Linked DNA regions of Alligator mississippiensis. The protein of the gene in region 1 purifies or fractionates together with the protein of each later gene. This does not show direct contact. Links are inferred from orthologs where the notes say so. Each region holds a gene or a part of one and is shown on either strand. Other genes may lie near its edges.

Region 1 (15,501 bases):
CCTCTGAGAAAAGCCATACATGCCTATGTGGATATCTCCTTATAAACTATGTCTCTGAGGATGATGTATTTCTCTTTATTACACCTTTATCAAGGTCTAGATATGAGCCCTAGCCACCTGGGACTTTGAGACTCAGCAGGGCTGGAGTACTGTAGAAAATGTGAACTGAGACACATCCTGATCAGTAATTTAAAACAGGGCTGTTCAGCCCCCAGCCTGCAGGGCAGATCTGGCCCATGGCACCATGTCATTTGGTGTGCGAGGTTCCCCACAGGTACAAATTTGGCAGTGGGGGAGCAATGACACTGCTCCCTTGTTTGCTGAGTTTTCAGACCCATGGGGAGTCCCAGACCCTGCATGTTGAATCAGCTGCCTGATCCCAGTGTGCAGGACTGCTGTTGGGCCCCAGGGCCCAATCCCAGTGCGGGGGCTAGGAGGAGGAGGAGGCGGCACCAGGCCCGTGGGGTCCAATCCTGGCAGATGGCAGCTGGAGGGGCAGTGCCAGGGCCCCATCCTGGCATGTGGGAGTGGGAGGGGAGGGTGCCAAGGCTTCTGGGGCCCAATCCTAGTGGAAGAGGGTGGTGCCAGGCCCTCTCGGGCTCAATCCTAGTTTGCCAGGCTGGAAGGGGGCAGTGCTGTGTCCCCCAGGGTCCCATCCAAGCAGGAAGGGGTGTTGCCAGGCCCTCTGGGGTCCAGTCTCAGAGGGGCAGTGTCTGTGGGGCTGCATCTGTCATGCATACCAGCTATGGCCCTTTCATCTGTCCTGTGGGCCAAAAGGTTGAGACCACTGATTTAAACACTTGTTGTATTCAGGAAATCTGGCTGTGATCAGTAAAGAATTTGAAGAAGGTAAAGAGTTTGCATCTTTTTATGGCTTGTACTTTATTTGGAAAAGAAGTCTCTCCCTTTTTAACAGGGAAATAATAGGAATGTCAAACTTTGCTCTTTGGTTTTGTTGGAAGACTTCTTGGCATGTCTTAAATGATTACTGTTCTTGCTAAAAGGTCTTTCAGGCTCTCCTGCATCATAAAAAGTGAAAAAAGAACACACCTTCCTTTTTTTTTTCCCTTTACTGGTCTCCGATAGCTGAGCTTTCATTCCATAAGCTTATTCCTTTAGGCTCTAAACAGACATTGTCCTTGGAATGGGATCAGCTGTGCTGAGATGCATCCTGACACAACTGGCTTGCTTTATTGGGTGACACAGATGTTGCCCATTGTCTTAAGATGGGATGTGGCAACATGATGCATGTGTCCAGGGAATCCTTTGCTGGGGGATTCTTGGGGTGCACCTCTGCAAGTAGGGAAACAGCCTTCTCAGGTTTGCTTTCTGGATTTCAATACCAGGGGAGAGGCAAAACCTTTGAAATGACTAGTGACAGAACCTGAGCAAGCAGAGCTGTTAAATGAAGCAGAGGTTGTTCAGAAGCATGGAATGAACAAGTATGATGCTTGTTTAAATAACACCTAATGAAAATATGAAGCAGTTAAAATGTAACGATTATATAGGTTTAACACCCACCTGTCTCTTCATAGGTAAATAAGGAACTGATTCTGCAGGTTCCAGTGGGACTCAAGCAACACAGTTCCTTAGTATGTGCAGTGACACTTCTTACCACAGTCTTGTGTTTGAGTCTGGTTCTTGCAGCCGTATGCAAACATGGTCACTTCTTCCTGGTGAACTGCTCATAGTGAAACCAAACATGGCCTTATTGTATGAAGCCATATGGATTGAGAGTGAGTATTGGTTTCCTATTAAAGTCTCTATATGTGGAGTGTAGTTTACTGTTGTTTGTTTGTGTTATGGTTGTGCCTAAAGTCCGTTCTGAGATCATGGCTCTTTTGATCTAGACCCATAGAACAAGAAAGAATTTCTACATGGGTGAAACACAATTGACCCCTGTTTGATAGAACATTGAATGCTGTTAGTTGCATTTAGGTGACTTGAAATTGGCATTAAAAATTTGGAAGAGATGTCAAGATATTTATGGTGTGAATTAGAAGACGGATGAATAACTCTCAAAGCTAGTGAAACAGTACTGACTTGGAAACAAATGTTCGGAAGACTGGAGGGAAGTCATTAGAACTGTTGAGAAATATCAGGAAACAGAGAGAGGAAATTGCTTCATTGGTGGAAAAACTGAATGGCTCCAGGTTAATAGAAATGTCTGCTCTGTGCTTTATTTGACAGTAGGGGGCATTGTGAGCATACAATATGATTGTGGGGAAGTCTTCTATTTCCTGTATGGCAAAAGGTTATTAAATCTAGGTAGTTCTTTTTATAAAATTACACATGTAATAAAAAGAGAAAGTCCCTGCCTTCAGCTTCTGTTTGTCATATTTCTTTGTGTGGCCTGTATTTGACCAACATGGTCATCTCATTAGCCAAATCAGCCTTTCATTATCTTCCACAGCTACAGCCTCAGGATCTCATGGGCATCATTCTTCATCTTCTGCTGAAACTCAAAGAGCTCGTCTTGTGACTTCTCCTACTGCAGGTTGACAAGTGCTCCAACCCTGGTTTCTTGTTCTCCCTCAATTCAGTGCTGGATGATGATGGCTGTGTCTACTTCATGCACTACCTCAGTTCACAACTCCTTTTGCATCTGTTTGGGGAAAGGGAGAAGTTAAAGAAAAGAATTGCAGATAGACTTTGTTACCTATTTACAGGTTTCCCTCACCAACTGAGGGAGTTAGGCTCCTAAAAGTTTCCATGGATAGCAAAACGTGGTTGGTAAGACAAAAGGGTTATGGGAAAAATAGGGTATGGGACTTGAATATGAATAATAAAGGAACATACAATGTATAAAAATCATTGTTTATATTCGCCAGACTCTCTACATGTGCTAGATGATTCAACAACTCCTTTTGTTTCCAAGGACATCACTTTCCTTGCTCTCTTCACAAATTGCTCACCTTCACCACTCACTTGCTTAGAGGCCATGATTAAGGGCAAAATGCAAAAATCTCAAAGAAATTGGAAGACAAATGCAGAGTACCTGCAACTGGATGGTTAATAGTGTGAAGCACAATGCGAGACTGTGTGAGTGAGGAGATGGGAGCGCCACAAGTGGCTAGCAAGAGCGCGGGTTGTTTGAAATGGCAGGTGGCAGGCTGATGCGTGGGCATGGAAAACCGTGGTTACTCAAAACTGTATACCATGGTAGCCAAAATGGTATATAGAATATTAAGTGTGGATACTCAAAACTGTGGTTGGCAAAACCGTGGCTGGCAAGGGAAACTGATAATCATATCTGAGCAGCTGGACTGGGATAAAATCAGCTCTGAGCTATTGTTTAATTTGTCCTTGGTTGTTTATTTTTTAATTTCCAAATTTGAGTGTGTTTTTGTGCTATTTTCTATCCACACATGTGGTTTATATTGCAGACTGATCCTTGGACTTGTGCCATCATGAAATACTGCCCAGCTTTGGCAGATGGTTCTCTTTTAAATGTTTCTTCCTTTTGTTTTTTCAAAATCACATTAATGTCTGATAAATCTCAGTCTGAACCATTTTAAATGGGTCAGTCTGCCTGATAGCATCATGCAATGAAAACAAATGGGTCAGTTTCTGGAAGAACGGAAAAAAAATACCTTGAGTGGTAAAACTTAAGGAGCATATAGTTGAGACATTTAAGTAATGACAGTGTACTAAGACTGTAGAATGGAGTCCATGATTATAAACTGAACTAGGAGGGACTGCCTTTTTTGCTTTCAATGAGTTGCATAGGTGAAAGTCATTGTTGTCCTTAAGCTGATGGTTTGTATGAAATGAATAACTAGTATTTAGGCATACTTACAGTGATAGGCAGATCTAGGATTTTGAAAAGGGTGGTTCAGGTGGTGTGGTTCAGCATCACTTTGAACACAACATGTATTTTTTCCAGTTAAAGAGAAACTAAAAGATTTACTAATGTGCTGCAGACCCAGTGCTATATTAAAGCTAGATTAAAGCAAAAACAAATATAACATTTTTAGAATATATACTAATATGCAAGCTTATATATTAAGTTTAAAAAACAAGATGAGCTAAGCCAAAATAGTCCAAAAATTCTGTTTTAGTAGTCTTGCAGTCATTATAATTAATTGTACATCTTATTTAGATTTGTTAAACAAAACGTAGCCTTGAGCATCTTGATAGTTTAGCCAACACTTCATTGTCAGTAATTTCCACACCTGAGTTAATGTTCGCCTAAGCAATATTTCTATGTCTGACTTAAGGGTTTTAGCTAGAACTAAAAATGGTCTGCAGGCATATGAAATAGAAGAGAAAGATTACCATGAACAATTAAAAGACAGCAAAATTGCAGAGGGAAGGATAACTTGATTAATGGAAATCAAGACCATTTAAAAGGAAAGAGGTTCACTAATGCTTGTGGAGTGAAGATAGATTAGTAGGAATCAGGTACATTGTAGTGAGCCATGAAGTCATTTGACTCCCTCAGTACTGCCTGAACAGAAATTCTGCCCTCTCTCCTATGCAGTTTGTCTTAAAGTTTGAATGGAGAAGAAATCAAAGGGGAGTGCAACTGCACCACTGCACTCACTCCCCATGCCCCCTGGATCCTCCCCTGACTGCAGTTTAGTTAGATCCTGGTTTATTGGTGCATATGTAGCATGCAGCTGGATATACTTCTTAGCTTTTCTAATGGTTATGGCAATTATTTCAATGTTTAGTCCGAGAGAAATGGAGCACTTCTGCTTTTCTTAGCAAAAAGGCTTTTTTATTTCTGAATTTCTAGCAGAGATGGGAATTTAATTATGGAATTAACAACATGGTATTAGTATTAGGGTTAATCTTTAGAAGGTTTAAGCAAGTTTAGTAGCCAGGGGACAATACTAATAATGGTAGCATTTTGGATTCCAAGGATGCATCCAGCTCAGTGTGCATGTGCCTGTCGCAGTGTCCCAAATCAGTTTGAGATGATGCAAGAGGCACGCTGGGACCAAAAAAAATTTCCTGCACTGCATATTTGCAGTGCAGGGTCAGAATTTGATACATGTAGATCCAGGTATCAAAAAATACCCTGGGGGGAAAAAAGTGGGGCAGGCAACTGAAAGCTTGGCTCTTCCACAGAGATGCTCTGATAGCCAGCCAGAGTGCAAGGCAAACAGCGGTGCAGGCTGCTGTGACCTGGATCCGGGCTATGTTCCAGGTAAGTAGGGGGTGTGGGGGCCTAAAGGAGCGGGGGGGGGACTATTGAGGGTGCGAGGGACCATTGAGGGGCAGCTCGGGAGGGGTGGGTCTCCCGCCTGCCCCCCACAGGGCTCACGTGTCCCCTGCCCAGCCCCAGCCCCCCTGCAGCTTACTAGCAGCAGCAGTGGTGATCGGGTGCGCTGGAAGCCTCGTGGCACAACCTCCCCACATGGTGTGGGGCAGTAGGGGCAGTGCTGCTTGTCCCTGGCCGCCTGGCATCCACACTGCCTCTGCCATATCACGTGAGCGTGGCCTAGCTTGGTGCTGTGCGCTTTTGGGCAGTTTGGGACTGCTTGGGCTGTCAACTGGGGCCCCATGCCACTCATGGGGACTGCCTGTCGCACTGGACCGGGTCCTGCGGGCACGGGCCCCATGCGCCATTGCGCTGGGTCGCTTCTGTGCTGGCTGCAGATCCAGAAGGAGCTGGGCAGGGTTATTTTGCCCCAAGTGCCACAACTTGCCCCACACCAAAGTGCTTGTTTGGGCACGTGCACCGAGGCAAAAATCCCCGGCTCAAATTTGTGCCAGTCCTATTTGAGCTGGTGCAAGCATGCATGTCTGCATGTGTGGATGCACCCCAAATGTCTGAACTCTTAAATATTCCCTTAGTAAAGCAGTCCGTGGCACTTTAAAAGCAGCAGGCCAAAACTCATTTTGAGTCAGAGGCAGGCCAGCACTTCCAACCCAGATGCCTCTGCCACCATTTCTCCCTGATGTTTCTCCCCACCACCTGTCCACAGCATGGGCTAAGCCTCCTTGGGTGCTGGAATGCTACAGAATACTACCTCTATGACTCGATAAAATGACTCTGGGTTGGATCCAACTCATGGGCCATAGGTTGTTGACCTGTGCCTTCATAAAAAAGGCTGTCTTTAAGTTAAATGGAGTTCTTGTTTTTGTGCATGTCTAATGTGCCAGTGTTTCCCATTATGACTGATACCTGGAGAACTGTGGTGACTGCCATATCATAAAATCATAGAAAATTAAGGTTGGAAGGGATGATAGGAGGTCATCTAGTCCAACCCCCTGCTCAAAGCAGGACCATCCCCAGGCAAGAATTTGTCTAGCCAAGTCTTAAAAACCTAAGGATGGACATTCCACAACCTTTTTGGGTAGTCTGTTCCAGTGCTTTATTACCTTCCTAGTGAGAGAGTTTTTCCTAATATCTAACCTAGACTTCCCTTGCTGCAACTTGAGACCTTCCTTGTTCTGTCATCTGCTACCACTGAGAACAGTCCAGCTCCATCCTCTTTGGAAGCACTTTCAGGTAGTCAAAGGCTGCTATTAGATCCCCTCTCAGTCTTCTCTTCTCCAGATTAAATAAAACCAGTTCCCTCAGCCTTTCCTCATAAATCATGTGCTCCAGCCCTCTAGCCATTTTTGTTGTTTCCTGCTGGACTAATTTGTGCACATCCTTTTTGTAGGGGAGAGGAGACAAAGCTGAACACAGTAGTTCAGATATGGCCTCACCAGTGTTGATTAGAGGGGAATAATCACTTCCCCTGATCTGCTGGCAACTTGTGAAGGAGTAATAAGGCAGCTGCTTTGGAATTTGGGAAACGGGAAGAAGGAATAGTGGTGTTGAGTAGTGTTGTGCTCTCTGCTGTTCAAAGCTGTCCTGGAAGTCAGCTAAACATAAAGCAGACTTAGTGCTTCTAGACCTGTGCAGTTAAAATCTCTGGAGTCAGGCTCCTGTCATGGTTTATGGGCCTACAAATCATGGGTGGGCTGGGAGGTCATATTCAGGTTCTGGCCAAGTCATGATTGACCAGTAGGTTGCTGACTAAATGGTTGTTGCTGCTTCTGTTGCCACATAAAGGCAGTAGGAAGATGTGGTGATTTACCCCATGAGTAGTGGAGGATGGCAACAGGTACACTGCTGCCATTTTCAGTGTTTGAGCCTCCACTCTCCCCCAAGACCCTTTAGTTGCTTTAGAGAGGAATGGAAAACTAAGCTGTGAGCTGCCCAGCAGTTGTCTACACACTTGAGGCACCACAAGGCCCTAACGGGCAATGCAAGGGTTAAGCCTTCAGCAATGGTGACAGAGGAACTGGCTCCTTCCAAAACCTTAAGGGCAAGAAGCAGGATGAGTGAAGTGTATCTGCAGGAATTTGAAATGTGACCACCTGGTGCTCCAGACATCCTTTCATAACTGTCACAAACCCAGAATAAATGACCTCACTCATGTCTTTTATTTCAGAGAGACGCCTGGATTCCAAGGAGACAGTGCGTAAATGCTTTTGAATCAACAAAGTAAGTATTGAGGAAACCTATCCAGTTTCAAAGGAAATTCAGGAAGGCAGAAGTCATTGGTTTTAGACACAAGTTTAGATGAGGAGAGCTCCCCCTTCATCTCTACCTCTCTCTGTCAGCTCTCTACAGGTCTCTGACAGGGCTTCTCAACCCTTTTCGGCTCGTGGCACCCCTTGGAAAATGCCAGCTTAGTTTGCACTTGTTTTCTGACTGCAGAAGCGGAGCAGTTCTTCTCTTGCAAAGAACTCAAAGCCCACAATGGGTGACAGTGGTTTTAACACCATGGCTCCCTCCTAGCTGGGGATATCTGATGAACCAGTTTCCACATCTAGCGGTGCTAACGTTATGTGGCACCCTTGACGGGAGAGAATCGCTGGTCGCCCCTGGGTGGGAATCACTGGACCCCAAATTGCCAGCTGCTGGTAGGGTGCTGTGCAATCACCAGCTGGCTGCTTCCTCTGGCTCGTTAGTCACTGCGGGTGCTTGATTTGCACCCTTGCAACTTGCGTGCCCTCGCCTGATGCTAGCAGGGCCTGCTATGGGGGGACGGTAGTAATGATTTTGCCCTTTGGGGGCCTGTGTGAATCCCTGCCTGTCTTCTCCTTCTCTCTGCCCCGAAGCCAGGGAGAGAAGTGCTGCCCCTTCCCCCCGGCAGGGAATCCCGGGCTTCCGTGTACCAGAAACCCCGGCCGAGTTAGGCTCTGACACTTATTCTCGTTCCTACGGGAAAATTGCCGTTTTTGGTCGTCAATAAGGCCCATGATCCTCTGGCCATGGCTCAGCCTTCAGAAGGGGTGCGGGCGTGCCCAAGCGTGCAGACCCCCGGGCAGTGGGGCCCGGTGCAGCACGGGCCTCGTGACGTCACGGGGGAGGGCTCCCGCCGCTTGGGACCGCGGTCACCTGACAAAAGTTGCCGGCTCCAGTCCCCAGCAGGCCTCGCGCCCCCTGCTTCTCCCCCCCCCCCCGCGCGGTGCACGCTGGGAGTTGTAGGCTTCTCGCGCCCCACAGCACGTCGGGAACCGTAGTTCCTCCCATTCCGCTGGTGACGCACGGCCGGCCCCGCCCCTTCCCCTCCCGGGCTGTGGCCACGCGCGGCGGTTCCGCTTCCCCCTCCGGCCGCCGCCGCCTCGGTGGGTCCCGCCGCCGCCGCCATTGTAGCAGGTTCCCGCCCCGACCCGCCCCAGCGCCCCCTCGGCGGCCTCCCGGAGGCGGGAGCCCCGGGCGCTGCCGGTGAGTCGGCGGGGGGCTCCCACCTGCCCGCGCCCCTGTCCGGGGGGGGAGGGAGGGGAAGTCACGTGTGCGACCAACGGCCTGCGGGGGGGCGGGGCGCTCCCGCACCGGGACAAAGCGGGGGCGCCGGGGGGCTGTGGAGCGAAGCCCCCCGGGGTGCCCGCGTGTGCATGGCTGCAGCAGGTGCGGGCGGGACACGCGTGGGACGGCTCCCCAGAGCTGGGGCCGCTGCCGGGCCGCCGCCGCCGCCCTCTTCCCGCTCTGCTTCCTTTCGACTGCGGGGCGCCGGCCGGGTCCGTGTGTCTGTCCTGCCCCACTGCCCGGCCCAGCGCTGCGTGGAGCCCGGGGCTGCTCTTGTTGCCTGGCCGCCGGGCCAGGGCAGGGCAGGGGAGGGAGGAGTTTGTGACGGAGGAGAAAGTCTGGGCTGAACGGCTCCCGCTGTGGGCTGCAGTCCTTGCCTGGCTTCCCGCGCGGGGCAGGGGTGCTTGCTTAAGGCTGAGCTGCCGCGGAAGTTATTTCACTCGTGGAGCAGAGAATTGAACTTGGCCTCAGATCTGGGTGATGTGATAGAGCAGGTGCTAGCCGTGGGGCAGAGCTGCCTGCCGAGCAGGGGCCTGGGTGGCGGGGCCGTGCCCGGCTGTTGCTGCAGGGTGGCCAGTGCTTCACCTGTACTGGGTCATTTTGGCGCTGCCAGACAATGGTGCTGACCCCTTCCCTAGGGCTAGAAGGGCTGTCATTCCTCTGTCGCAGCCTAGCATGACTGATTGAGGAGGGCAGTGCAGAAACCCCAGAGCTACTCTTCTTGAGTTGTGCATGAGTAAAGTCTTTAAAGGTTAATTAAAAAGCTCTCCCTCTTGTTTTAGAGGAGGGGTGTCAAACTCCCCTGTGCTCTGGGCTGGATCCAGGCTGTGGGGCTCCTTGCAGGCCAGATCTAGCCTGGGGTACACAGTGCCAGTAGTTCTGGCTCTGACCTGGGGCCCATGGCAGCAGCAGCTCCAGCTCCTGACACACGCCCCATTCTAGAGCTGGGGTTGCTTCCCCCACTGATGCTGCTCCATGCCCCCTGCAAAGGTGGCAGCTCCAGCTCTGATCTGGGGCATGCAGCAGTGCTGAACAGCAAAGTGGTTGGAGGAGTAAGGAGGCCGTATCTGCCCTAGTCCAGCCTCCTGCTGCTTCATCACCAAGTTCACCACGGGCAAGTGCCCCAGGTTCTGCAGCGGGCCATTCCCCCTAGCCACATCCCCATTTTCTGGTGGCCCAGAGGGCTGGGTAGAACAGCTTCATGGGTCATGTTTGGCAGCCCTGTTTTTAGAGGAAGGAAAAGTGTATTGTACTTGAGTATTTCATTTTTTTTGGATGCACTTGTGAAACAGCAGGTTATGTTCTCTGTGGCTTCTTAACTCTGAGCTAGGCTACGTGTAGGCTTGCTTGTTAAGAAGCTTGGTTGGTTTAATGAATAATATCCTGAGTGTGCAAGTGTCAGCTAATACATCTTGGGTGCTAAGGCAGAACCACGTCAGAAGTCTTGGTATTGTAACTGCTTGCTGTTCTGTGCAGTGCTAACCCACAGTGATTAGAAGCTGATTGGCTGGGAGGAAACTGCACACATGCAGTTATCTTGCAAATGCCCTTCTGGGGAGTTTTTTCCTCTGGAACAGGTGGTATTTTCTCTGTAGGAAATGGGAGAGTGAATTACATAGACTAGTGCTTTGACCATGTATGGCAATATTAAGCTTTATGGCACTGACTGAATCCTTACCTTAAAAAAAGTAGACTTTTGCTCTGTTTAAAATGTCAGTCCTTAAATAATATGCTTTTTTTTAAACACGTGCATTTAAAATACTTCTTTGTAAATATTGAAGATGACAGGTATGGTCCTAGCTACTGCCAGTCATTTATTTAGGGGTATGAGAGGTTGCACAGGTCTGACTTAGAGATATTTTTGGTTTGGTTTGGCCTCATTCCCTTCTCATTTTCTTTCATCTCTGCCTTCATCGTCACTTTTTGGGTAGAAAGTTCGCTGTAGGGCCATGTCAAATGAAGAACCTGGTCCAGTAGTTACTTGTGTGAAGATGCCAGCTGTTGGGGTCTTGGGCTGGGACCCAAGCAGCACCTTATAAATAGTCTTGTCTGATTGAAATGGACAGGTAGGGAGAAAAAAAGAAGGATAGCAGGGCATGGAGCTGGTGTAGAAGAGAGGTCCCTGGCATAAGTCAAAGATCCTTAATATTCATTAGCAGCTCAGACCCCTGTGAGGAGTGGAGGAAGTTTGTAAGAAATAGTTCAGGTGTGTAAACAAGTTTTTGCAAAGGCTGTTTTGTAGGATGACTCAGATGCTGTGTGGAGCAATGTCTAGATAGATTGATTTATAGTTTGGACACATTCATTGAGAAATGCATGGCTGAGGATTGTTCCAAGCCCCTCTGACAGGTTCCTTCCAAGGTATTTCAGAGTTCTGTAAAATATGAAGTCATATAACTATAGTTATACATGTCTTGTCAAGTGCCAATGACTGGATCAGCACTGTACAAATATTTTAAGGTCAATTAAATATACTGTTGACAGTTCTAGTAGGGGAAAAAACAAATTGAGAGGCACTTGTCAGGCTTTTTATTCAAGAGTTCATTCAGTCTAGAAACTTACTGTGAACAATTTCAATCATCTTTTTCCGTGTGAAAACAGACTCACTTTGGACCAACAGGGTGGTTCCAAAAGAATACAGAAAGCTGACTGTCCTTTTGAACCTTTCCCATTTTAACTAGAAGGCATTTCTTGGAAATGTAAGCTGAGTTGGATTCTCAAGAACAAATCTGTGGTTGTCTGGTGGAGTCTGGAAGATATTACTGTGCAATAAACAAGGGTAGCTGATAAATTGCAAATAAAAATTGCCAGTGCAAACGTTACAGAGTGAAGGACTCATAATACTTAAGTGTGTATGGGTGGGGTCGGTTGTATCTGTTGTATGATGAAAAGAAAGCATGCTTAATTCTTGCATGTTAGTTAAAGTAGTAGGATGTGCTAAAGGTTCTGACATTAAAATGAGATTAGTTCAGTCAGTGAACTAGTTGAAGATTGGATCATTGCCTTATTGAGTGGCACTGATCTTTAAGCCTTTAAGTTTTTAACTTTAAGACTTTACATTGCTCAAGGTTGATATCTTAAAGCAAAGTTTCATAGCAAGTCTTAATTATGCTAGTCTAACTAGATGCTGATTGGTCCCTTTGCTGCCTGTATTCAGTTTATACTTGTGTAGCCTGTCATGGGGAGATGTGACTGCTGTTCCCAGCTGTTCATCTGACCTGTTATATCCTTATACAAATCCTTTCTTTGTCCTTCCAGCTGGGCAGTGGGTTTATCATCTAGCCTTTAAAATTTCACACTTCCTTGCCAAAGGCTGATACAAAGATGGGGGTCCCTACCAGCAAGGTTTCCGAGCAGCACTATTGTACTTGTCTTTTCCCGTTGAAGAGGGAGAAGTTAGTGGGATTCTTGCTAGGAGTCTCTTTTATAAACCATGCTGGTGTTCTCCATATTTTGTATTGGCTTCTGGCAAGTATCACCTCTTGCTGCTGAGGAAGAAACTTCCTGTCTCACCAGCACCTCTGAGGCATCTTGTTGCAAGTATACTTCTGCTTCTGTACCCTTCCTGTAGAGGCTGGGGGAGGGGATTAAGTCTTCAGTACTCCTTCCCCTCCTCAGTCCTCTTGGTTCCTCTTCTCCTCTGACTAATGCTTGTACTTGTGTTCCCAGAAAGCAGTACTGTATAATTAACAGAGACTCCTGGTCCCATGGTGGTTCTGCCGCCCCCCCCTGCAGCAGCAGGACCTGGGCAAGGCAATGGGCTCCCAGTAGCTCCCATCACTGCAGACTGGACAAAGAAGGCTCCTCAGAGATGTGGGGCCAGGCCCTCCCCAGAAGGAAGAATACAGCACACTTGGTGAAGGCTGCCCCACTGGGACTGGACCCCCCTCCTCCAGGGAAAGCTGGGGAGAGCCTGGCTTGTCAGCACGGAGGAGCCTTCCAAGTCTGGGGCACAGCGGTAGGAGGTTCAAGGAACCCGTTGCCCTACCTGGGCTTCACTACTGCAGGGGGGCTGGACAGACCCACCATGGGGCCAGGAGTCTTACTGCTGTGTTGGGAAGACCCTACCTGGCCCCTTTTGGGGGCACCTCCCTCCCTGTGGCGGTGGAATCTGGGCATAGGAGAGTTCCTGCTCAGGGGGGTGAGGATAGGCTGTGGCTCTGCAGCTGGGCAGTGGCCCCTAGTGGCTCCGCTGTGCCCGCTGACTTCTGCCCTTAGCTCCCTGCCAGTGGCTTGGCATAAGGGGCTGGGGCTATTCCTGCTGGAGGTCACTTGTTGGTTAAATGGTTAACCAATAGTTCATTGGAGGTGGTAAAAGGGATAATTTTTTAAACAATATTTACACTCCCACTTTGCAACTGTTAGAGCTATGAACTTTATTGAAAAAATTCTGCATCAATTGATGGCTAGGCTTCCTTTTTCTTTTTAGACCAATAGTCCTTTTGCTCACTATGGTTTTTAGTCTAGAATGTACGGGCAGGCCTTGCAGGCCGTGAGCCCAGGACCATGTCCGTGAGGCCCAGGTGTTCGGGCCAACCTGTACATACTCTTTACTGGCCCCGATTTGTCACCCTCCCTGGAATAAACGCCTCTTAAAGTCTTTTTAGACCAAGCAGATGGGCTGCTTGTCAGAGGTAGGGTGGAATATTGAAGCTCCTTTCAAAGTAAATGCGTTTAATTACCTTTATAAAGCATTTTCAGGTTCATGGAGAAAAACACACTATTTAAACTGCTAGTTACCTATTACAGTGCTTAGAAGCATTGTAACCAGTTCACCTATGTGGATAACCTATTATGTATTTCCCAGGGTTGTGTTAGTAAATAGACCATTTTCTCCTTTAAAAAATGGATCTAATTGGAGTTAGTTTGCCATTGGAGGCTAACAAATGGGATAAATGAAGGACTTGGTAACTATGTTGTTCTGTTGTTGATGCCCAGATTTTCAGTTTTTAAAACCAATTAGCTTGCTACTTATTAACATCGGGGCAGAACTGTGCTTGAAGGGATTTGATTGAAAAGAGAGTAGCTTGGGAGTCTCTCATTGTTTCTTGTCACAAAATACATTTTAAAGCATGCTTGTCATGAATGGGTATAGATAAATGCTTTCCTCCCTTTCAGGTATTTTATTCCAGAAGATCATTTATAGTTTATGGTTGAATTTAGCTACAGGGCCTGCCAACTTTTCTTTTGCGGAGGCAGGTTTACTCAGGGTTACATACTTGAATGGGAGGTATTGGCTTGTTATTGAAATATATTATATTGTCCTGGAAAATTAGCAGTTGCCTGTTGCCAACAAACTGTTGTTACGTTTGATTCTTGAATCGGAGCAGTTCTTACGTCCATGAGTTAATGAAGTCAACCGTGTTCTTTTTCTGCGTCTACTTCTGTCGTAAGATATATTTTATACTTATTACAGGTACAGGGTCTGGGAACCTGGTGAAGCAAATGCAGAGTGTTCAATGGTGCTGCTGGTGTTCAATGCCAATCTGAAATACAAGTGATGGCAATTAATGGGAAAAAATACCTTGGTCTTACTGTAGTTGAAGAAATAGGGCACGGCAGGGACTTGGGAGCCTTTGTTACGTCTGTGGCATTTGATAAGCCAGCTTTCTTCTCTCTCCCTGTTTCCCTTAGTACTTGGCTTGTCTAATGTAAGCCTTGTGGGATATGGTCTGTGACTTACATGTTTGTACATTGCCTGGTACATTGAGATCACCACTTCAGTGGTTCTGGCTATGGCTCCTAATGTCATAACAATAGTAATGTGACTTCATAGAATGACAATGGTTAAATCCATTCACAAGTTAGAGATCCCCTCTGGAAAGGGAAAGGTATTGATGGTATGTTTGCTTTGAAGCAAGCCAGAAGACATGGGTCTGATCTTTCAGGTTTGATGTTTGGACCACCAGTTGCATATTTCAGATTTGATATTTTGTTGGTTATTTGAAGAATCTGATATGTTCTATTAGTGACTTGTGGGCTGGCATTTGATAAACAGTATTGAGTTAATATTCTACAGTTAGCATCTCTGTTTTTCTTGGGGCTTTCTGAAATTGCCTGTCATCCTAGTAATAAGTACATGCAAGCATATTCAATATTTCATTGTATGATCAAATGTTTTATTTGTCAGGTTTATCTAAATAATTTTGATGAAATGTGGCTCAAAGTAGGGGACCAGGAAGTGTTTTTGACAGACTGAAATACATTTTAAAAAGTAGTATATTGTGGTGTTAGATATACTTTGATATAATACAGTCTTTTTCTCCTGCAATGACTGCTGAAGTGAGCAAGAATAAGGGCAGCTGGCTGATGTTTTAGTGATGCAGTCTCTAAATGTTTCTGAAATTACTATGCAGTCTTTAAATGTTTCTGAAATTTTTTCCTTCCTGTTAAGGTGAGGGTACTGCATTAATGTCTGACTCACTGTGCAACCACAAGTTTAAACACACCCACTAGCTTGCAACTGTCAGCAGATATGGTTTCAGAGGTTTTTGATGGGGCAAGTCACCATGGTTCAGACATCTGGTCCAGTGTATTGGGGCTTATTTCAGAAATCTATTTTTTGCCATAGGGAAGATTTCCTTCTTCCTAATATCCTCTTGCCTTTTTTTAATGTTCCTTTTTCTAAAGGAAATACTGTACAGCAGGTGCATTAAATAAATGGAGCTGTTTCTGGAAGGGTGCATATTTTTGTTAATTGTTTCACCCTCTAAGACTTTCTCTTGGAAAAAGTCCCTGGA
Region 2 (15,510 bases), on another chromosome or scaffold:
AATGCTCAAACCACCACAGTAGTGGAAGTTCCTGGCTAAAACACTGGGAACAAGTTTGCTGAAGTATTAAACCAGCTTTGACAACAATAGTTTCTTATGCGGATGCAGAAACTTTTTCTTCAGTTTAGTTTTTCAAGCAGTTCCTGTTCCATTCAAAGTTTAGAAAATCATCTGGGAGCTAAAAAAAAGGAGGAAATCATATTTTTCCTTTTCTAGTTTATGAATAAAAAGCAGACGCGAGCAGATGACCTCTCAGTTCTAAAATCTGGAGATCAGTTCTAAAAAATAAAGTAACATTATTTTCAGTTATACTTTTAAACTTAGCACCTGTCCCAAAAGGTTTGGAACACCCTGAACATCTGATTTCATTCTGAGCTGTAAGTGCTTAATACCATTCAGATGAAACTGTTAAACTAATATACAAAATTATATTTAAAAAAACCCCTACTTTTTAAATTACATAGCTGACATTCTGTAAATACTGATTGATAAAAGGAGAGCAGAAGATGGTTGTGGCATGAAATATGGTTTGTTTTTTTTAAAGGCACTACTCAACTTATGACAGATGGATACTGTTAAGGCATGCCTAAGAATGAAAAGATTCTTCACTCATATGTGAACATTCACTTCAAGGTTTAGGTTGCAAAAGCTTTGAAAGATGCTTTAGAATTAAATATGTTTAAACCACATTGCTCACAGCAAAGTTGATTATTTGATCATCAAGGTTTAAAGATCAATGACTAAGAGAAGACGGAACTTCTTCAGACCTGTTCATATAACAACACTTTCAACCATATTTAAAAACTGAAACAAGATCAGCTTCACTTGCCCTTTTGCCACCTTTGTCACAGCTGGTCAAAAATAACTGCATTTTTCCAAAACGTCTCCTGCAACTATAAAGAGAATTTTATAAAAATATTCAACTTACTGGACTTTATCCTGTGGGTTAGCTTTGCGCCTTCCACTCATAACAGATGCTGGGTCTAGCAAAGAATGTTCCCATATGGAGTTAGCACCATTATTATACAGTGTTTCAACCATCTGAAATTCAAAACATGTACAACAAGCATTAAGTATTTTTACTGCTACTTGCACAGACAGGATAACCAAGACCACACAAATTTCCCAGTACTTTGCCAGTACACTTCCAGTGCAGGCATGCTATCAGCAATATCTTATTTTTAAACCTATTAATTGAAAAACTCTTGGCATTCTTTAGGGAAAAAAAGATGAACAGGATCACGTGAACAGACCAGAAGAGTAACAGATTTGTCCAGTTCTGTGCTAACGTCTATGACTAAAGGGAATGTCAGGAGTGGCTCCTTTGCATTCACAAGTAAGAAGCCCTTCCTTCAAAGGCCAGAGATAACAGGCTGTGCACATGAACTTAGATTTTCTCCAGACAAAATTGCTGAAATCAACACATTTTTCCAAAACGTTTTATTCTGGCAGAAACAACATTTTTAATTTAAAAAATAGACCACAGAATTCCTGATCTGCAGACTCCAAACCGCTACAATATGCATGCTGTAGAAAAGTGGTAAATTCCATATATTTAACCACCTGCTAATCAGGCTACAGACCACAGCCAAACTGTCTGGATTAATAGTGTATGGGTGGGGTTAGGGTCAAGGTAAGTTTAAACTAAAAGAACAAAGCTGCATCTGTTAAAGTGCTGGTAAAGGATCTTTTAGGATATATAAGACAGAAGCAGTGAGAAAGCAGAAATGAAAACAGAAAGCCTAGAATTAGATCCTCCCCCCACAGCAGTGAAGATTTATGCTCTTGCCAACAGTAGCTTTGGGGAAGAGGAAGGGTTGCTGCATGTTGATAACTTGCACTGAAACACCTGCAGTAATCTAAAATGGCTTGAAAGCTACTCGCTAAACCAAGAGAATTTTAACTGTGCTTCAGACTTTCCATTTATCCTAGATGCAAGTCAAGAATTTCACAGGTAACATTTACTTTAGTAATGCACTACATGGGGTGTTAAACTCACTCTGGGCCTGGAACCAAATCAACTACACAGCTCCTTCCAGGGCCAAATCAGGAGGCTGCGTTCAGGTAGCAGCATGGGTCTGGTCTGTGGCAGTGTGGATCCAGGACCATGGGACTGCAGGCAGCTGCATTTGGGCAGTGCTGAGCCAGGGGCTTGAGGAGACACAAAATCTGGCCAAAGGCAGCTCCATACCAGTGCACATCCCTGGCTCCATGCAGATGCCCAGCCGAAGCTCTGTGCTGCTGCGTACTCTCAACTCCACGCTACTGCACACCTCAGGCACTTGCAATGTGCTAGTTCAGCACTGCTGCTCGAATGCCTGAGGCTGGCAACATTGCCAGGGGTTCACAACTGTGCAGAGCTGAAGGCATGCAATTCTGTAGCCTGCTGGACTACCAGTGGGCTGGATGCAACAGTTCTGCAGACCGGAATCAACCCACAGGCCTTGTCTGACACCCCTGCACTACAGGAAAGGTAACAGAAACCAAGCATCTTTTAAAAAAAAGCTTAAGGGAGCAACCATCCTCCCAAGAAAGTTTAGTTATTACAGAATTCTCTAAAATAGCAAGTCTCATCCTTTACCTGCAGCAACGTTGGAGGCCATGGTGTGTGTTTGAGATGCCTCACTTGTGAGATATGACGCCCCAGGCTCCGATGCACGCTACAGCACTCATCACAAATTAAAATCCCCCGGTTTATTGATGCCCAACAAGGGTCTGGAAAAGAGTTACACATGTTATAACACGGAGACAAACAAGTTCAATGGTAAAATGCTACTCCTGGTTTTCTAATTTATTTGCTATATGAACTTGGGCAAATCACAACCTTCGCAGACCTCAAGATGTTGGAGGAAGAATGGGTCTTGTATGTAAAGCGCTATATTGGGTTTCAGGAGATCTGGGTTTTATTTCAGCCTGCCACACACTTAAGACCTTGAAGAAAACCACTCTGTGGCCTCAGTTGCTCATTTGTAAATAGGACCCCCTGTCTTCCTCATATCAGATCCATTGTAAGGCTAAAACTAAGCAGTTCCCAGATACTGCTGTGATGAGTTCCAAAGAAATGCCAGTAAAGAGCAAATTCCTACCCTGCTATCACAGGAAACTATATCACATAATTCCCTTAATACACTTAACAAGTTCCTTAAAACCAACCAGATTTCTTGCCTTATTATTCCTACTAGACAGCTACTGCTGCAAACCATTTGCAAATTGTTCACTCTTATAATTGAACATATTCAGCTATCACTCAATACTGGCCACTTGGTCACCCCTGGTTGAGCAAATAACCCTCACAATTCATGGCACAAGTAGATTTTAGTAGAGATTTGGAAAAAAAAATCCTACTGAAAACTGGTAATTTAGAAAATGCTATCTATGAATGAAAAGTAGCGTTAATGAAAGCAGGCAGACATTTTTGGTAGAAGTTGTCAAGTATTCATCAAAGCTTTGCATCAGTGGCAGAGGAAAGGAGTGATTTAAAAACTGAACCTGATGCAGTGGAACCAGAACGAAAGTGGAAGGATTCAAACAGGGGACTGTCATGGTAGCACAAATGAGCCAAGGCGACGTTCTTTGCAACTGATGAGTGTTGGAAAGGTCAGACAGGAAATGGACACAATCACTAATACATGGACCTACTTATGGGCCCAAATAAGAGCTTGAGAGGACTGAAGTGTTAGGTCTGGAAGTTTTTGGAAGGAAGCATCAGGATTTTCACAAACCTGGATGTGCCAGGACCAGGAAGATGGAGGAGTGGGAGAAACACTACAGGTAAAAGGCCTGAATCACTAGTAAAAGGGGAATTGATAGCATGTGCTGAGAAAAGAAATGGTTAAGAATTTAATTTGCCTTAGGAGTTACTGGATTAACTAAAGGTGTTACTTCAAACAGATATAGTTAAAAATCACACACAAAAAAGAAGCGCTGCCTTTTAAATTCAATTTAAACACAGTTTATACAAGTTATCTTAAGCTTGGGGGACAGCAAGTCCCAGGCAGGCCACAGATAAGAGGTGGAGATGTCAACTTACACTAAACAGATAAGTGAGGTTTAAATTGATTTAAGTGTCTACACCATGTCTTGCTCTCATTTAACAAACCTGTTTGGGGTTTTTTCCCCTCATTTAATTTACAAACAGCCTTGAACAACTTTAAAATTCTTTTGATTAAACACTGGATATAGACAAGTTTAAATTGATGGCAAGATATTAAGGAAGATACAGTGGGGGAAGAGAGGGCAAGACAAGTTCTGCTATGCTTTCAGTAGCACTAGAGAAGAATTCAAAACAGGAAGTAAGACATGATCAAGACAAACTTGCTAGTTGTTATCAACAGACTTTGAAAAGTGAATCGTACGATTATACAGAATGCAAAGTGTGCTGATAAAGGACACAGCATCGCCTCATGTCAAAACGAACAAGTAGGGATGGAGTGTTTTGTGGCCACGATTAGCCAAGAGATATGCAAGAAGCAAGGTTTTTTGGGTGATAGCTTTAATTAGATTAACTGTACAAACTTGTATACAGCTGGTTCAATAAAAGATATCACCAAAAACATTTGCTTTTTGCCGTACAAATGTAAGATATTATTTTGAGGGGTTTATAAGGCATGAGTGAACAATTATTTGTCAAAACTAAACAAAGGAAAAATGGGCCAGGGAAAAAACAAACTGCTGTACAGAAATTCAAGCAATACTGTGGTAGTGATAAGTCCCTCTATGTTCAATACATTTAAGCAGCGTAAAAGCAGCTTTACAATAGAATTAGGATAGGACTGATAACATGGGACATATGGTTGTGACATTAATTACTGGGTAAGAAGAAGGGTAGAGTTGTGGATATATCAACTCTGGAATCTTCATTTATGATGCTAAGAAACTGAATACAGTAAATCCTATTTTCCAGAGTCTTTATCACCTAAGGAAAATGGAGATTAACCCAGGGGAAGAAGGTGGGCATCCATTTGTTTTTACAAAACTTTTGAGTATTCAGTGTTTACCTGTATAATATAATCTTGTAATTTATTTTGGTGTTACATCTGTCACACCATTGATCTTGAAAGAAGCACAGCACAACACAAAACACAGAGCATGAACTGCATAAACCTGAGAAAGATGATTTATAAGCTGGGGTAGAAAAGATTATTATGAGTAGATATAAATGAAAGAATGACAAATATATCTGAAGTTTAAAAAGAGAGCGTGCCTTCTGGCATTCTAAAAATCGTTTTTAAATAAAGTTTTCAGAGTTTCCCCAGTTAGTCATTTGGACCAGTCTTCTGACTTATGTGCATAGCTTTACCCATTTGAGTTGTTTTATTAAAGTTAACAGGACTGCCCAAAGTACAGCTACACATGTACATAATTACTTGCAGGACTGAGGCCTAGAAGTATTTCTAAATATTCCAAAAGCCAGCTCAGCTAAGGTGACTTGAAGTCAGCATCACTAGTCTAGTGCAGGAATCCTCTCCAGCAAAACCAAGAAGAAACTGACTAATCTAATGTCCCTATTCAAACCTCAATGAAATGTAACATACACCACAACAGAATCAACTCATTTAAAAATTGAGACTCTTCAGTTTTAACAATTCCTTTTGCTATTAATGTCACTGAATATGTTAATTTTATCTTGCTGATGCCCCTTAAATAAAAAGTACTCAACTATGTAAAACACCACAGCGCTAAAATTAAGCAGATGTCATCAACCTGCGACTAATGAAATCCAGAAATCCAAGCATAAATTCAATAATTGTAAACTGCAAGTTGTGTTAAAGGGCAACAGCTGTCAATAAATTCTTTGTTCCTGGATGCAAATTCAGTGTTTATCCAGTTTGCAAAGCAAACGTCTCATTCCAATAAAGGATGGAATTGCTGGTGGAATATTCGGATTTTATAGAAATTAGATTCATGTTTAAAAGGAAATTCAACAAATCTCATTGTCATTTCTAAGCTCACTATCAGAGGGGTAACTCTACGAATAATCTCTTGCTATGCTAAATACCAATACTTCTGCGCTGGATGTTATTTTAGGCCATCTCACTTGCTGGAACACAACTCTCCTCTGTGCTTGCTCAGCCTTCAAGTCTATAGGTCACTAACACACAAAATGAGATACAGCCCACACTTGTTTTAAAGGGACAGTGAACAATACTTAGCACTCTTAAAATTAGTGGACCCCTCAATTGGAGCTACAGGGAATATTGCTGGAACTCACATTTTCTGATATTTTGAAGCAGAAATTAGGACTATGTATTAGACTCTGGAAACCTTGTCAATAAACCTGACTAAGGGATCAGCTTATTAAAACACTGCCCTACATTATTTCTTTTCTAACTAGTGTAGGAGAGACACCATGACAGAACACTGCCAACAAGCTCCTGACCACGCTGAACCTCCATCCTATGAATGCTGAAATTCACCTCCAACAAAGCCCACAGGATTCTGGCCTTTTTTCTTACAGTTTGACAACTCACAGATGGCTTATCATGCCAGTCATGTATTTAACTGAGTTGTCTAGAAGTGAAACTCTCTTGAGCCAGTACTGACACACAGGAAAGTGCAAAAAGGAAGCACAAAAAACAAAAAGTAAGATTACAATTCTAAAATTCTTCCATGTTAATACTATAAACATTTTAAACACAGGTATGGGAATGCACTGAAAAGGGGGACTTATCTGGACAGCATCCTTATAAGAGGAGTCACAGAATTAATTGTGCCATGATTGTTTAAACGGTTTGGTAAATTCCACTTATATCCATATTAGATAAGTGCAAAACTCCTTTAAGCGTATAACATGATGCCAGTCTTAACATTCATCCTAGCGCTTGTATTGCAACAAGCACTTAACATCACTTATCTGCACAGGTCAGCACAAGCAGCACTTATCTGTATACGGATAGATGTGTAAACCCACCAAAGTCCACAGGAACTCTTCAGCGTTGCTGTCTGTTTTGACCTGGGACTGCGTTTCCTTTCCTGGCATCACTGAACTGGGAGTCACCAATTCCCAGGCCTCTTCTTCTCTCCTATCCTTCATTTCCCCCTTTACACATCATTAATGTGGCCGAGCCACACAACTGCTTTATCACTGACGCTTCCCAGGTCCTCATCCTGGTGTGCGGGCGCGCTACACACGGGAGGAGTGGGTCAGCAGATTCACATATTGGACTATCCTTTAAACCAGTGGTTCTTAACCTTTTTTGTACCAGGACCCATTTGTCAACGTCGACGGTCAATTCTGACCCAGTACCTCTGGGGCAGGGAGTGGGTGTGTGGGGCACGTGGGTCCACAAGCAGCCCTCCGCAGCCTGCGAGGGAAAAGCCAAAGCTTCCCACATTTTTCCCCTTTAAAGGAGAATCCATTTTAAAAGTTTGCATGCAACCCTTTCGTATATTCTTGCGACCCAAGCCAAACTTATAAGGCGCGGCTCCGGAGCAAATCCCGTTTCATTTAATCCACAAGTTGCGGGGCAGCTCGTACGCGGGCTGAGGACGATTCTCCTCTCCAGCGCTTTGATCTCATCCCGCTTACCGTGGTGTTGCTCAAGCGCCCCTAGGCCGCTGCGTGCGTTGCACGTGCCCGTTTTGGGTGTTTACGCCTCACGCGGCTGCGTTTCTTAGCGATTTGTATAGGGCGCGCTCACTCTCTGCTGTCAATTGGACGCTCTTTTAATTGCCGTTTGACTTCTAGAGTCTCTCAGACGCTATATAAAGTGCGCGCGGTACAGCCTCCACCCCGATGCTGTTTTAATTGCCGTTTGCCCTGCACGCTCTCGCTAAACACGACACAAAACGTGCGTGTATAGCCTCCACACTGGGAACACTCCTTTAATGAGCGTTTTACTTCCATATTCGCACTCAGCGCTGTATCAAGCGTGCGTGGTGTCGCCTGCACACGGTCCGTGCTCTTGTACTTGCATTTTCTCACGGCGCGCACACCTCGGCCGGGCCCTGCCGCCGCGCCCGGGCTGCGAGCTGTCGCGGGGCAGTGGCTCCTGGACCCCGAGTCTGGGCAAGCGCCCCCGTCCCCCCGCCACGAGCGCGGGTGCAGGGCAAGCCCGGGAGCACCGTGCTTGGGCCGTTAAGATGAAGGCGTGGTTGTGTTTGTTTCGGTGAGAAGGCAGGTGAAGCGTCCCCCAGGTGTGCGGGCGCGGGCCCCCCCGCTGCAGGCCGCGCTTGCCTGAGGGGAGCTGAGGGAAACCCACCTCCCGGCACTTGCACCACCCCCCGCGCCTACCCTGAGCGCTGCAGTCGGCGCACACCTCGCTGCTCCTCAGCCGCTTCGACATGCCGGCGCGGGCGGGTGGCGGGCGCGGGGTAGGGGGGGCTGGGGCCGCTTCCTGCCGCCCTCACGGGGCCCGGCCAGCAACAGGCCGCACTGCGCAGGCGCACACCAGCGCCGCCATTCAGCAAGCCGCTGGGGCCGGTGCGCGCGCGCGTAGGGCAGGGAGGTGCTCGTCACGTGACAAGTGGAGGGAAGGGAGTGAGGCGACTCAGGAGCCATCTTAGCTCCTGGCACCCGCGTAAGTGGGGCAGGGGGAAAACCGCGGCTGCCCTCACCCAAGATGGCCGCCGAGGCGCTTGGGCGAGAAGGGCCGCCCGGCCCTTATTCAAAGAGGCTGTTAGGAACTTGCCCTCACCCAAAATGGCGGCGCCGGCCACCCGGAAGTCTTAGAAAGGCGGAAGTAGCCGATGAAACCGACGCTTGGGTGCGGGCGCGGGTGGGGAAGCGGCTTCCGCCGCGGGCAGTTCCCTTGGGGAAGTACAGCAGGGTGACGAGCTGCCTCCCTCCCTCCCTCCGCCCGCGGGCAGCGCCGAGCACTGATTCCTCTTTCCCTTGTGGAGTGGAGTGCAGTGCGGGGCCGGCTATGGCAGCCGACGAGGGCCCCTCGCCGCGGGGCCCGCTGATTCGTTCCGGCCCCTGCCCGGGAGAGGAAAGTTAGACGGGGACAGGCGGAGGAGGGGGCTGGGGGAGCCCCGGGGGGGGGTGTCTCTGGGGGTCCCTGAGACGGGGGGGGGGGAGGTTTGAGGGTGCCTGAGGCAGGGGGAGGGTGCCTGAAGTGTGTGTGTGTGTGTGTGGGGGGGGGGGGGTCTCTGAGGGTGCCTGAGGTGTGGGGGTGCTGAGGCTGAGGGGCCTGGGTGCGTGTGTTTGGGGAGGTGAGTGCAAGCAGGGTGTCTGCCCCCCCTCCCCCCGGCCAGGGCTGGGGGTGCCAAGCAGGGGAGAGCAGGGCCCTCGGGAGCGCCAGGCAGCAGGATGAGTTCGCCGGGCAAAGCCAGCAGCAAGTACCCGCTGCACGTCTTGGTGTGGAATAACGACTACCGGCGGCTGGATGCGGAGCTACGCGAGCAGGTAACGAGCGTCCCGTGACGCACCCTCCCCGGGGACGCGGCCGGGTAGCGTAGCGATGCGTGGGACCGTCGGGCTGTTGGGGCTGCCGACGCACTATCGGTGATGAGAAGGGGCCGTTACGGGCAGGCACCGAGAATATGTCTGCAGAGATATCGCCGAACTTGTTAAATGCCGTCTGCTGATCTTGGGTGGGGAGGGTTGGGCTTGGACCCGGAGCCAAAAAACACACAGATGCGATGGGCCTTAATGCTGTCTGCTGAGAGAGGGCCACCGCAAGCCGTGCGCGGCGACCGGTCTGCCGGGACCTGAGCAAAACTTTTTTTTTCTCGGCATGGCGTGCCCGGGCAACCAGTAGCTCACTGAAAACTGCTGCTGTTTTCCTCGCACGCTCTTGAATCGTTCTCTGCCCTCCTCTCCACTGATGGATGCTATGATTTTTGTTTTGCAAAGTCAGTCCTTGCAGGTTAGAATACAAACGTCCCTTTTTCAAGCGTAGTTCTTTGAGCTTTCCAGGTGGAGACTTAGGGTCTCAATAGCTGAGTATGTTTGCTCCGGTGACAAAACGTACGTGATCGTCTTAAACCACCCAAATCTGGTAGGGCAGGTGTAAAGTGGGCACACTATTAGCATTAAAATACAGACAGAAATGGGTTCGAAATCTGTATCGGAGCCCAAGCAGTTGAAATGATCCAGTTGTTGAGTTCAGATATTGCCATTACTGAATTCCAGTGCAGCTCCAAATACTGAGATATACTTTATTAATACACAGCTAAACAGCTGGGATTTGTGGCACGGGGCACCAGTTGGCAGACACATAGCCTGTTAATTGTATTGTTCCTGATACAGTGGGTCCATGCACCGAGTGTCAGACAGTGTCACCTTGTGATGCTAATTAGGATGATTGTCTGCACTTTGCTGGTGCATTCTGAAATGCTAATATTTGTGTAAAGCTTGCTTAGGTCGTCTTTTTTTCTTCTTTCTTTGAGTGACTCTTTAGGATGCTGTGTACTGTATCTCTAATTCTTATAATCTTCAGTCTGTCTGCAATATTTCTTTTACTGACACATTGGTTAGGGTGCTCGTTTCTTTATGTTTAAATCTTTATTAAAATAATGTTACCGTCTTTTAAACAGTTGTACCTTAACTGGGAATATTTTAGCGCTAGTTTATTCTGGTGATTTGCATCGTTGTAATTATGGCAATGCAAGCAGGTCCAGCTTCCTGCCCCCAGTGCTCTACAGCGCAAGTAAATGGACTACATTTAAAGGAAGGGAAAGAATACATGCACTAAGCTTGAAGTGTCTTCTTTAAATCAAAGATGTCACTTCTGCATCCTCTGTTCAAACTGCTTCTTGTATGGGACAGATGTGCTGTGTGTGGCAGAGGTATTGAAGGAAACTCTAGCCAGCCTCATGAAATGACTAATGCAATGCACAGTTCCAGGTTAACAGCAGAAGAGAAATGAAGATAACTGATCCAGAATCCTTGTTTTCACTGCATTAGGCACTACAGCTTGGAGAAACTGAGTGAAGATCGCAAGGGCTGCTGTACTTAATCACAGCAGCGAGAGATGAGGATGCTGTAATTCAAACTTTCCTTACTCTTCGATCTTGGTGTTTCAGACTTAATGCTGTCAGATAACCATTTCAATTTGCATAATATTCCTATCTTATTCCACTATTGACTTTTCCCCTTTTCCTTTAGTTATAGATCTTCTTCTGTTTCAGATCTCTAAAGCTAGTAGTGAAAAATAGAAGTAAGGTATGAGTATGTTGTGCTTGCATGTTTTGGGTATTTATGCCTCATGTGGTTGCATTTCTTAGTGATTTGTATAGAATGCACTCACTCTCCATTGTCCTGTGTGTCTCAGTCAAACTGATGCTCTTTTAATTGCCATTTTACTTCCATATTCTCACTAAATGCTATACAAAACGTGCATTGTATAGCCTATCACTCACTTCTGTGATTTTTGGCTGATTTAATGTTTTGTATGTCATGATACCCTCTAGTGGCCACTTTAACTGGTGACTAAATAAATCAAAGTTACAAAGTACAGAGAATGGAACCCTGCCATTTCCTGAAAAAATTGTGCCTGCAGATCAGGAGGGGGGAGGAACCTCATATAGAGCTGGCTGCTTTCTCTGCCTCCCAACACCCCCTTTTCCTCTTACTCCCAATCACTTTTAAAAGAGTCCAGTCCTATTCCAATTGGATTTCTGTGAAAGCCAGGCTTGTAAGAGGACAATTAGGCAATTCAACAGGGGTATCAAAGCAAGTCATATAAGATAAAGTGACTGCAAACCATGAATGGTTCTGTAAGAATACATAATGCATACTGACCCATTGTAGCTTATCGCTGAAAAGCTTTGTATTATCTGTCCTTGGTGTCTTCTGGTGATGGGGTTTGATTGAATGGTCTCAGCATCATTTACCTCTTGGTTGTTCAACAGGATGTTGATCAACGGGATCCACGAGGCCGGACCTTGCTGCACCTTGCTGTTTCCTTGGGATACATAGAGTCTGCCAAAGTCCTCCTTCGACACAAGGCAGATGTTACCAAAGAGAATGCCCAGGGATGGACTGGTAAGAGATTAGATTGCAAGTGGAAATTGTCTGTTAATAACCTTTGCGTTAAACCCAGCACCTCTGAAATCTGGCCCTGTGTGTGTCGTCATGGACGTTGCATGGCTTGTCTGCAACATGCGTGTTGTAGGCGTTCTGCTTTTTGGCTAAAAACAAAAAATGCACCCACCTCCGTGTTTGGGCTTCTTTCAGTTTTGCATGAGGCTGTCAGCACAGGAGACCCAGAAATGGTACACATGATTCTGCAGCATCGGGACTACCAGCAAACCTCAATGACACTTGGAGGGGTTCCCGAATTACTCCAAAAGATTAATGAGGTAAATATTTAATGAAACCTGAGTTGCAGGCTGGTCAAGTGCCCTTTTGGGAGCTGCTAGTTTGGTGTCAGTTAACTTAAATCAGCTTGGGGATCGGAATCAATTGATCTTAAGTCAGGATGATGGGCTATTCAATTCAAAATTACCTCTCCATTAACTCCATGTAAATCCGTAGTAACTTAATTAAGATGGGTACAGTGGAAAAGTGTTAAACTATTGCAGGACAATGTCTTGTTGTATGCCACCTTATTTTGATTAAATGTACTGGTAAGTTTTATCTGGGTAAATGTCACTGTGGGTGTTGTCAGTGACATCTCAGCCTCAAATGTTTCTTCTTTCTTAAATGTATATGACAAGTCAGAGCTAAATACTGAGTTAATATTCTCTCCATTTTTGGCTTATTTGAAACACCCATTTTTATGCTAGACTCCTGACTTCTACGTGGAAATGAAATGGGAATTCACTAGTTGGGGTAAGTGTCTTCTACAACCTCTCTTACCTCTTGTAACCAGTAGAAATGCATGCGAGTTTCAGACTTGTTGAAGTAAAAAAGTAGGTTTGCAAAGAAAATATGTATGTAGAACCTTTACTTTCTTCCTTTCTCTCAAAGTTTGTTAAGCATGAAAGATTTCCAGCCTATTTTTCCTGCTATATAAGCTGTTAGATCTTTGTTAATGCCTTTTTTTTTTTAATTGAACCCTATGGCACTTATGTTGGTGGTTGCTGAAGCTTTTCTAAGGATTTAGCTGTCCCAGTGCTTCGTCATACATAAGGTGATGAGGCAAAACTTATGTGGTGGTGCCAACCAATTTAGGAAGCAGTTTATTCCTTCCCGTTGCAAAACTGATTATGTGCATTATGGGTGACTTCTCTTTCTTCCCAACCACTGAGTATTCACCATTGCTGGACAGAGGACAAAAAAATAGCTACAATTAATTATTTTATTTAGTGTCTCATGTCTTGCCATGTTCACCATAAGTGGGGAATCAATTCTGATAGTTCCTCTGTTCTTTGTTTAGGTATCAAAAAACAAACTAAACCAAGAAAGACAGAGGTTCATAGCTCTTGGGACTGAAAGGGATCATTTTGATGATCTACTTTGACCTCTTGTGTAATGCAAGCCATAAAATTTCTTTAAGGAATTCCTGGATCAAGACTAGAACTTCTGGTTTGAGTTTGATCCTCCTACTCCTTTCTTTTCTGCTAAGGAATTTTACATTTGAATCTCTGTCTTTTTCTTTATAGTCCCACTGGTTTCCAGAGTATGTCCAAGTGATATCTGCCGCATCTGGAAAAGTGGTGCCAAGCTTCGAGTTGATATCACGTTATTAGGCTTTGAAAATATGAGTTGGGAACGAGGAAAACGTAGTTTAATTTTCAAGGGAGAAGGTGAGTATTTTTAGCCTGTCTCATTTATTGACTGTCAGACAGCATGAGGCCTACAATATTTTTCAGAGTACATGTTATAATGCTCAGCTTTATTTTCACATCTTTCACAGACTTCTTCATGCTGAGAAGTGCTCCATCTGGCATTTCAAGTTTCTAAGCAGAACAGAAGGGCTGAATTTTCCTTCACAAATTCTTCTGGAGCAAATATAGGAAATCAGATTAAAACTTAACTTTAGAACCACAGAAATAAGCATTCAGCTACATTATAGATAGATATATATATTTCCCAAATGTATTAGGGTCTTTTAATTCTACTTTTCAAATTACTCTTAAAAATGACTTGGCCACCTACATAATCTGCTCATCCATCCTTACTAAGATCATAGTGGTACTTAAACAAATCTATCACTTGTCCCAGACAAATGCAAACCTGACAAAGTTTCCTTTGTCCTCACTTTCATCCCTTGTGTGAGTCCTGGATACCTCTTTACTGAAAGTTTGTAAAATCTAGTCAATTATATCTATTCTTTCAACAGATACTGGAGGCTGGGCAGAGCTAATTGAGATAAACCATGATGATAAGGTTGTCACAACAGAGCGTTTTGAAATCTCCCAACAAATGAAGCGTTTGACATTGGGCTCTATGACTCCAAAAAGGAAGGATGTGGAAAGACGCCTTACATCTCCTATTATTAATACTTGCCTTGATACAAAAAACATTGCTTTTGAAAGGTAAGATATTTAAGCTTTTCTTAATGAACAAATCCTCCACCTATGCAGGATTATGCTTGCAGTATAACTTTAAAAAAAGAATCTTGTAATAGATTATCTTGGAAGTAACCTAGAATAATACCCTAAACTGCATATTCCATTCTGTAGAGAATGAGCTGAAAATCATAACATTTACTTCTGGCCTTGCAAACGGTTTCCATTTGGTGAAGAGTCCTTTTGCACTGTAACACTTGCATTTCTACATTAATGGGGCCAGTTTTAATATCTTCTGGTTTCAGAAATATACACTTAATTGCCAACACAGCAAGAACGAACCATATGTGCAGTGCTGACGCTAGTTCACAGTCTGTGGGCTGACGTTGAGGATCCAATAATAAAGTTTACAGCTTCAGTTTTGACTTTGAGCTTGATTGATTTTTAGCTTAGTCCTATGTAAATGATAGTAATAACTGTACTAATACTGATAGAGAAGATACTAGTTTGATAGTAGAAGCACAGGAGCTACTTCAGTGCTGCACCTTTTTGGAGTGTTATGGGGTATGACAATACACTTAAGTATTGCTGTGGGAACATTGATTAACTTCAAGGCAAAAGTATTTATTAAAACATGGTGCAGAATTACAGCCAGTGTGAAAGATCAGCTGTCAAAGCTCATTGCTTCATTCTATTGGATGTGTGAAGATTTTCTTCCTTGAGTGCTACTTGGGGAATAAAATTAAAACAAAAAAGCCTCCAAATCCTAAGTCCTGCTAAAAGCCAGTGAATTTTAGACACGCCAACATTTACATTGTTTGTGAAAACCACCCTAAAGCTTACTGACAGCAATCAGCCTGGCTTCCCAGTTTCCAGCTGCAAGTTGCCAGATAAAATTAAGCTAGCATTGACTCTGACAGTTGTTCAGTGGTTCAGGAGAGGATGTGATGCTATCCAGAAACTCCAGTTCCTTGTGGCTCGAGCTTTCCTGTTACAATCAGCCTGCTAAATATTAGCCTCTGCACTTCCATGGAGATATGAATAAGAACAGAAATGGACTCAGACTCATTTTTCGGCCTTAGATTGGAGAAAGATGTTTGTGTTTGTTGTACCTGTTTTCTGGGGCTTTGTCTAGTATCTTGCAAACACTGTTTGGCTGAAACATCATTA

The links.
Region 2: the proteins of PAK2 (region 1) and GIT2 purify together in Homo sapiens (affinity purification with mass spectrometry; 3 studies listed by BioGRID and IntAct, with this or other methods). This does not show direct contact. The link is inferred for Alligator mississippiensis from reciprocal best matches to the Homo sapiens genes PAK2 and GIT2.

The regions. Positions count from the first base shown.
Region 1 is NC_081830.1:36,757,715-36,773,215, reverse strand, and holds the start of PAK2 (serine/threonine-protein kinase PAK 2), read left to right. Parts: upstream 1-8,500; 5' UTR 8,501-8,580; intron 8,581-8,586; exon of another isoform or gene 8,587-8,680; intron 8,681-8,775; exon of another isoform or gene 8,776-8,863; intron 8,864-15,501. Other genes in the region: PIGX (phosphatidylinositol-glycan biosynthesis class X protein), read left to right, coding at 1,536-1,691. UniProt on the Homo sapiens protein: Serine/threonine protein kinase that plays a role in a variety of different signaling pathways including cytoskeleton regulation, cell motility, cell cycle progression, apoptosis or proliferation.
Region 2 is NC_081833.1:2,080,786-2,096,295, reverse strand, and holds the start of GIT2 (ARF GTPase-activating protein GIT2), read right to left. Parts: upstream 8,347-15,510; 5' UTR 8,286-8,346; coding exon 8,234-8,285; intron 2,716-8,233; coding exon 2,582-2,715; intron 1,042-2,581; coding exon 929-1,041; intron 1-928. Other genes in the region: ANKRD13A (ankyrin repeat domain-containing protein 13A), read left to right, coding at 9,251-9,346, 11,797-11,929, 12,122-12,246, 12,673-12,718, 13,492-13,635, 14,172-14,367. UniProt on the Homo sapiens protein: GTPase-activating protein for ADP ribosylation factor family members, including ARF1.